Linked DNA regions of Cricetulus griseus. The protein of the gene in region 1 binds, or shares a complex with, the protein of each later gene. Links are inferred from orthologs where the notes say so. Each region holds a gene or a part of one and is shown in the gene's direction. Other genes may lie near its edges.

Region 1 (3,606 bases):
GGGGTGGAATCCAGGGCCTCACACTCTACTATTAAGTTAAGCTTGTAATCTTCCTGGCCAAATTCAGGTAGCTTTCCTCACTCTTGGGGGTTGAGGTAGAAAGGATGCTTTAAAAAAATCTTATCTTGTGCATCCTTCCTCTTCCTGAAGAGGTCCTGGTGAAGAAGCCAGATGGGAGGGTGACTATTACAACATCTGCTCAGGGGTGGTTCCTTTTTCTTCATCCTCCTTGAACTCAACTTCCTGACCCTATGTGGTCTTATGAAACCTTTGGCTCATGGATATTGACTGGTAAGAGCCCGAGGACTGAGCTGAGTTCGTAATCTTAACACACAGTAACCCATACACTTATTCTTCTCCTTTCTCACTCTTTTCCTGATTAGTCCACTTACTTACTCAGCCAAGCATCAAAGATCTCTGATGACATACCAGATCTATGTTCCTTATGAGCTTAGAGAAGAAGAAGAGGAGGAGGAGGAGGAGGAGGAGGAGGAGGGAGGAGGAGGAGGAGGAGGAGGAGGAGGAGGAGGAGGAGAAGAAGAAGAAGAAGAAGAAGAAGAAGAAGAAGAAGAAGAAGAAGAAGAAGAAGAAGACAACTAATCACAACAAAATGTGACCTTTGGAAAGACACTTACCTTAAGCATCAGTTTCCCCATAGGTTTAATGACTTGGTTAGCAGTCATATTGTCACCAACTTTCTATTACCTTCATCTGCAAATTACAAACTGTGGTCTGCCAGCAGTTTAGGAACTGTAGAGAAATTTCATTGTGCTTTTGTCTGCAAAATACCAAAGTTCTCAGAAAGAGGGTTGGAGCCAAGGCATAGAGAGGAATGAAGGAAGTGCCGAGTTCCAGTGTCTCATCTGGGTGGGGGTGGGGTGGGAGTGCAGGGTCAGCAGGGGCCATCCAGATGCTGGGACCCCCCTGTGAAATATCACACCCTCTCTGCCCCATGCTTGTCCCGGTCAAACTGGATTTCAGTCTGCATAATTTGTACCAGTTAGAAGGGTTGGGAGAGGGTGAGAACAGGAGGGTGAAGACTGAGGAGGGAATAGATACCCTGAAAGTCAGGCATGAGGTGGTGGTGGTGGGGCAGAGTAAGAGTCTGGGGTGAAGGCTGGTGGAAGCTAGAGAGAGGAGGTGGGGCCAGGAGGAGCAGCAGGCTTGCAAAACACAGATAATTGTCAGCCCAGCACAGTAGGGGTCAATTTAGTCTACTTACCCAGTGGCAAGAAGAAGGAGAAAAAAAAAAAAGTGGGCTGTAACTTAAAGATCTTAAGACTCACTAGAGAGGGAGGAGTTGGCCTCAGGGTGGGAGGAGGGAGTGTGGAGTTTAGGAGGAGACAGAGACTCAGGAGGGTGCAAGGAAGTGTCTTAGCTGAGCTGGGGTGGGAAGGGGAAGGTAGAAAGAAGCTGCCGGAGCAGCACATCCTGCTGGGTCTGAGCTTCCAGAGGGGCTTCTTCTGCATGCCGGGAAGGGCGCCCTCAGACCTTCTCTTACTCAGGGCGCTAGCTGAGTTGGTGATATAGCTCTGGAGCTGGTGTCCCTGGGACTCACCGCCTACCTTCACTCCATTCACCAGTATGGAAGATGATAGTTACAACTACTATGGGGCCGACAACCAGTCTGAATGTGAGTACGAAGACTGGAAGTCTTCTGGAGCTCTCATCCCTGCCATCTACATTCTAGTCTTCCTTCTAGGCACCACCGGCAATGGCCTGGTGCTCTGGACCGTGTTTCGGAGCAGCCGGGAAAAGAGACGCTCCGCTGACATCTTCATTGCCAGCCTGGCAGTGGCTGACCTGACCTTTGTGGTGACTTTGCCACTGTGGGCCACCTATACCTACCGGGAGTTTGACTGGCCCTTTGGAACCTTCTCTTGCAAGCTCAGCAGCTACCTCATCTTTGTCAACATGTATGCCAGTGTCTTTTGCCTCACCGGCCTCAGCTTCGACCGATACCTGGCTATTGTCAGGCCAGTGGCCAATGCTCGACTTAGGCTGAGGGTCAACGGGGTTGTGGCCACAGCGGTCCTGTGGGTGCTGGCTGCCCTTCTGGCTGTGCCTGTAATGGTGTTCCGTTCCACTGCTAACACAGAAAACAGCACCAAGGTCCAGTGCTACATGGACTACTCCATGGTGGCTACCTCAAACTCAGAGTGGGCCTGGGAGGTGGGCCTTGGGGTGTCATCCACTGCTGTAGGCTTTGTGGTGCCCTTCACCATCATGCTGACATGTTACTTCTTCATTGCCCAAACCATCGCTGGCCATTTCCGTAAGGAGCGCATTGAGGGCCTGCGGAAGCGGCGCCGGCTGCTCAGCATCATCGTGGTATTGGTGGTGACTTTCGCCCTGTGCTGGATGCCTTACCACCTGGTGAAGACGCTCTACATGCTGGGGAATTTGCTGCACTGGCCCTGTGACTTTGACAGCTTCCTCATGAATGTCTTTCCCTATTGCACCTGCATCAGCTACGTCAACAGCTGCCTCAACCCCTTCCTCTACGCCTTTTTCGACCCCCGATTTCGACAAGCCTGCACCTCCATGCTGTGCTGTGATCAGAGCAGGTGCAAAGGCACCCCTCACAGCAGCAGCGGGGAGAAGTCAGCCAGCTATTCTTCTGGGCACAGCCAGGGCCCTGGCCCCAACATGGGAAAGGGAGGAGAGCAGATGCATGAGAAATCCATTCCCTATAGTCAAGAGACTCTTGTGGACTAGGGCTTGGACCAAAGAGAAGCCTGGTGCTTTGGGTCTGACCCAAACTTTACCCTTGCGCTCTGAGAACCAGATAGCATGGCTGCATTTTCTCCCTGACCCCTGGCTCCTTTAGCTGTTCCCTGCCTCCAAGCTCTGACTTGCCCTCCACTTCCCAGAGGTTTGTGGTTCAGTGGGAAGAGATGGAGCCTTGCAAACAGACCTGTGCTCAGCTATTCAATATCCTCGAGGCTGACCTCGCACAAGTCTCCTATCCTCTCCAAGCCTCAGTTTCTCTGCATTAAATGGGAGAATGTTTTATGGACCCTAAAATGTTGAAGATGATTCCTGACTTAATTTGCTTCCTTCTACTCTTTCTACCCCCTCCCCTCTTTTCCTTTTTTGTTTTCTCTGCTGCAGAAATTTTTACTGTCAATTACTCTCATTCTAGATCTCGTTGTCTTCTAGTGGATTCCTAAGGCTGGGCTTCTAAGGGTTAAGAATGCTGAAGCTTGAAGGATAACCCTGAGTTCTTCTCCTGTTTTCCGAGAGCCAGCAGGGCAGGGTGGGCTGTGTGTGTAGGCAAAGAATTAGTGCTTCAGTCCCCAGAGCCAGGAGCTCTGGGTCTTTCCAAAAGTTGGATTAGTTCACTGTTGGTCCAGACACCAGGGCTAGACTGAGTTTTGAATAGAGATTTCTCTTTGGCAGAATCTCCGTGTTGCTTAGTAGATAATGTATCCTACCAATAACCCATTGCCCTCTTCTGCTTGTTTATAATTGTGAGAATTACAAGGTAACAGGGCTGAGGAAGCTGTGGACCATCCCGTTCCTATGAAGGTGCAGTTGGGAAAGGAAACCAGAGAAAGAGGGGTTAGAGGGGAATCTGTATTTAGTCTGTATGCTGCTTGGCTC
Region 2 (4,305 bases), on another chromosome or scaffold:
ACATTTCAAAGGCATTTCATAGTATATACCATGGATTTCTACATCCTCTGTGGTACATAGAAACACTGTCCCATGTACCTTTCATGTACATTTGGATGTAGACTTGGAACAAACAGCCTGGCTCGCTGCAAGGTGGAAACACCTTTTGACTCAGCCTTTCGACATGTGTTGAGTGCCACCTATGTGCAGAGAATGATATTGGGGAGTTTGGAGAGATGCAGAAGATTGAGACTGTAGGGTCCTGTCTTAGGGGATTCCCAGCCTGAGGAAAGAAGCAGTGCATTTCTTTGGGAACCCCCAGGCTGGAGAAGGAGCTAAGAGTCCCTAGTAGACAGACAAACGACCCCAGGGCCCTCTTATAATGGAGAATCCCAGCTGACTGTAAAAGAAATCCAGCTCAGTTTGGAAGGATCCAGGAGGCCTCTCCCCATAAGGAGACAAAACGAGGTAGGGGACAGCTCCAAGCAACAAGAAAGGGAACATGGCCGAAGCTGCAGAATGTCTCCCGAAAGTGAAGAGTATCCAAGAGGCAGCAATTCCAGGGGGGGCAGGTTGGGACACAGGGACAGGAGGATGCCTTTTTTAGATTGGGTGGGAATTTGAGGTTTTGCTGCACTCACGGGGCCAGTCTCGGAAGAGGGTACTCGCTGGGAGACAACTGGAGAAATAAGGTGGTAGGCAGTTACCCAAGTCTCTTTTTGGAGCAGAGGGTTGAGACAGGGTTTCTCTGTGTAATAGCCCTGGTTGTCCTGGCACTCGCTCTGTAGACCAGGCTGGCCACAAACTCACAGAGATCTGTCTGTCTCTGCCTCCTGAGTGCTGTGATTAAAGGCGTCCACTACCACCACCGCCCGGCTAGTTTACCCCAGTCTTATGTGCAACCTAGGCAACCACCCCAATTCTGAATCAGTTGAAGATGCAGAGGAGAAAGAAGGTGAACTCCTTGAGTAAACCCCTACTTGGGAATACAGAGTGACAAGGGGAGAAAGAACATGGTCAGGGTCAGAAATGGATTGGGGTGTTGTGGGGATCCGGAATGGGTCCTTCCCCAAATGCCCTGGTATCCTGACAGCTATTGAGGAAATCAGGTAAGAAAGGGTTAAGTGTGCCCCTCCACTGATCCAAATGCTTCCTGTGTTTGAAATCCTTCAGGTCTCTACAAACCCTCTGCACCCCGGCCAGGCAGGCATTGTCCGGGGAGCCGCTGTGGGTTGTCCGAGCGGCCGCTCAGCCTTTGTTGTGGGGCCACCTCGGGGTTCCCTCTCGCGTCCTGGATAGGGCTGCAGCGTGCTTGCCTGAAGGGGGTTGGTGCGGGAGGCTCTCTCCCCCTCCCTCTTCCTGCTCTCCCCCCCCCCCAGCCCTCCCGATGACCACATGACCAAGTGGGCTCGCTGCCAAACCACAAGCTACAAAATGCAGCCCCCGAAGTGAGCGGGGAAGCATTCTCTCTAGCAGCCTGGACCAACGGATAGTTGCGAGTCGCGGACTAAGCACCGCCGGCCACTTGGAGAGTTTCTGCTGCTATCCCGGAGCCACCTAGGCCAGCTTCGCCGCGCTACCCCGCGGCAGGAAAGGAGGCTGCTGCAGAGCAGGGGCGGCGAGCAGGCGTGGGGCCAGCAGCCAGCAGCGTTGCTGGGGCACGCACCCTCCCGTGGTCCGGGAGCCACGCGAACTCCGTGCCCGCACGCGCCAGCCCCGTCTCGCGCCTTTCTCGGCGTCCGGGGTGCCCGGCCTCTCTGCCCACGCTCCGGCTCTTCAGGGAGATTGAGGACCCAGTTGCAACATGAATCTACGACTCTGGGTGCAGGCGCTGCTCCTGCTCTGGCTCTCCTTGACTGCGGTGTGTGGAGGTGAGTGCCTGTCCTCCCTGCTCGCCCGGGCTTCCTCCGGGGCTCTCCCGAACTACAGCCTGCGGGATCCTCTCTTTCCACCCCATGCACGCTCTTCCTGCCTCCCAGGAAACCCGGCGCGAGCCTTGCAGGAGCAGCCACGCGCCAGCCACACAGGGAGGCCGATTGACAGGGCATCTGGGGCCGGGGGAGACGTGCTTTGTAGCTACTGCTTCCCGGAACAGTTCGGGGTTTGGTATTATCACGTACATCACCACTTGGCCCTTCTTGAATGCCCCTCGCAGTTTAAGGCGCTCAGGGCCACAGACTTGCACCCTATGTCCTGCACCCTGCACCCTGCACCCCACGTGGTGGCCGGGAAGAGGATGGGGGCATGTCAGCTCACTTCGTGGACCGGTGAGTGGATCAGGCGACTGACCTGAGCTGAGTGATCAGGGCTCAGTGTTGAAGGTCTCTAGGTCTTGGAGTTTAGGGGCCGCTGGCAAGTTCAGGGGCTCAAGCCGCTGGGGATGATGTGCCAACATGTAGACGTGACACTTGTTGCATAGTCTGGAGCACGCTGCGGGGGCGGGGGCGACCGCAGTGGCTAGTGGATCCCAGCTGTTGCCTGAGTGTAAGCAGAGGAAGCCTGCTTAGGCAGATCTGGACCGGACAGAGTCAGGCTGCTCTCCTCCTGTACTCCAAGGTCCTGGATGATCTCGTTCCCTACAAGGTTGTGGGACACCTGGCCCACAGACTTGCTTCTTCTGTATTCTGGCTTTATCCTCCACTCTTGCACCAGTATAACTTTGGTCCCCCTGTCTTCAGGTACCAAACCAGCAAACAGGCCCTTCGTGCAATTCAGGGAAGGGGGGTCCCTTCCCTTCCACCTGTACCGATCTCCCACCTGGAAATTCTTGGCACTGGAACTCCTTTGCCTACTTCAGTCCAGGTCTTCAGTGTCCCAGGAGCCCCTGCCCAGGCTGCCCATCCTCTGTGCGGCAGAGCCTCCTGGAGCTGCCAGCTCGCACCTTCAGCTGCCCCAGTCCTGTGATCTGGCTGTCACTGCAGCCTGCCTGGCACAGCAGAAAGGGAAGGTCAAGACCAGGTGAACAATTGCCAGTGCCAGGGCTGGAGTCACAGAGTCACAGGGAAGTGAGAGTGGAGAGAGAGAGAGAGAGAGAGAGAGAGAGAGAGAGAGAGAGAGAGAGAGAGAGAGAGAGAGAGAGAGAGACAGACAGACAGACAGACAGAGAGAACGAGCAGGACAGTGGGTTTCCTAGAGGAAGAGCCCAGGAACTTACTTAGTTTGACCTCCCCCCCCCCAGAACAGGAGGATGGCGTGCTGCCCGGGAGCCTCTGGGGTTCTGGCCAATTCCGCTTGCCTCTCTTTGTAGCTACCTCCTTTCTATGCTCTTGTTCTTTGTCATTGCCCTGCACTCGGTACACTGCCAGGCTTCTCTGGAAAGTACATTGGTCTGGTTTGTGCCTCTTGCCTCCAGGTAGCTGTCCAGTGGTCTCCTGCAAGACCCTAGCACCGAGACAGCCACCTCCTTGGGATGAAGGGTGCAGACTTTTCCCCAGAAACTCCTGCCAGCCAGGCAGTGGCAGGAAGGGAGCAAAAGCTATGAATCAAGACACCACAGCAGCCTGCTCCTCTGTCCTGGAACTTACACAGCCAATATGGTTGGCAAGACACATCTTCATAGTTTGACTTCAGGCAAATAGTTAGAGGAGTGCCTTTAGAGAACATGATTGGGTACAGAAAGGGTACCCCAGAGGAGCTGCATACTTCCCCAGAGGGTGAGGGGAAGGTATAAGGGAGACTTTGGCTAGTAGATACTCAGTGAACCCTTCAGGGTCCAGCTGTTGGGATATTACTAGTAAAGGGGTGAGCTGATTTCAAGGAAGCAAAGCAGGCTTCCAGAACACTTTGGGTTTCTGGTCTAGACCTTGAAACTTCTTGTTCTGTCTTCTCATTTTACATTAACTCTTTGGCACACCCTAATGTGAGTATAAGCATCACCCTTACATTTTATTTAAGATAAGCATTGGCTACCTCTAAAGGTCTCACTATTTTCCTACCTCTTGACCACTCCCGGAGCCAAGGAGGGCACCTTCTTGGAGGTAGCCAGCAGCCAGAGGTTCAGGTATGCACACTCCTCCTGTGTCCTGGTCTAGAAAGCAGAGCCCTAGAATAGTCTCGTCCTTAGCACAGACTTGCATGAGGTATCCAGAGACAGTCCCCGAAGTTCAGAAACTGTGTGTCCTCTTCTCTTCCACTCTCTGTTCTGACTTGGAATGTTCACCTTCCCTCTTTGCCCCTCCTCCAACTCCACAGACTCTCCACTGCCTCCTGACCTGGGATACACTTTGCTCTTCTGAGTCCAGGAGTTTCTGAGTCCTGGCCAAATGTCCCTTGTTCTCCGAGCACCATTTTCTCTCGGTCTCCTCCCCCCCTTGGCAGCTTATACTC

Evidence for each region.
Region 2: the proteins of Aplnr (region 1) and Apln are in contact, whole or in part, in a cryo-EM structure (PDB 8XZG), measured with the Homo sapiens proteins. The link is inferred for Cricetulus griseus from reciprocal best matches to the Homo sapiens genes APLNR and APLN. Residues at the interface, in NP_005152.1 of Homo sapiens: Tyr35, Phe78, Trp85, Tyr88, Thr89, Tyr93, Ser106, Ile109, Phe110, Met113, Pro163, Val164, Arg168, Gln180, Cys181, Tyr182, Met183, Tyr185, Glu194, Glu198, Leu201, Gly202, Ser205, Tyr264, Lys268, Tyr271, Ser275, Cys281, Asp284, Leu285; in NP_059109.3 of Homo sapiens: Arg66, Pro67, Arg68, Leu69, Ser70, His71, Lys72, Gly73, Pro74, Met75, Pro76, Phe77.

What each region holds. Positions count from the first base shown.
Region 1 is NC_048599.1:90,406,431-90,410,036, reverse strand, and holds Aplnr (apelin receptor), read left to right. Parts: upstream 1-1,584; coding exon 1,585-2,718; 3' UTR 2,719-3,073; downstream 3,074-3,606. UniProt on the Homo sapiens protein: G protein-coupled receptor for peptide hormones apelin (APLN) and apelin receptor early endogenous ligand (APELA/ELA), that plays a role in the regulation of normal cardiovascular function and fluid homeostasis.
Region 2 is NC_048604.1:21,410,348-21,414,652, forward strand, and holds the start of Apln (apelin), read left to right. Parts: upstream 1-1,392; 5' UTR 1,393-1,783; coding exon 1,784-1,850; intron 1,851-4,305. UniProt on the Homo sapiens protein: Peptide hormone that functions as endogenous ligand for the G-protein-coupled apelin receptor (APLNR/APJ), that plays a role in cadiovascular homeostasis. Functions as a balanced agonist activating both G(i) protein pathway and beta-arrestin pathway of APLNR.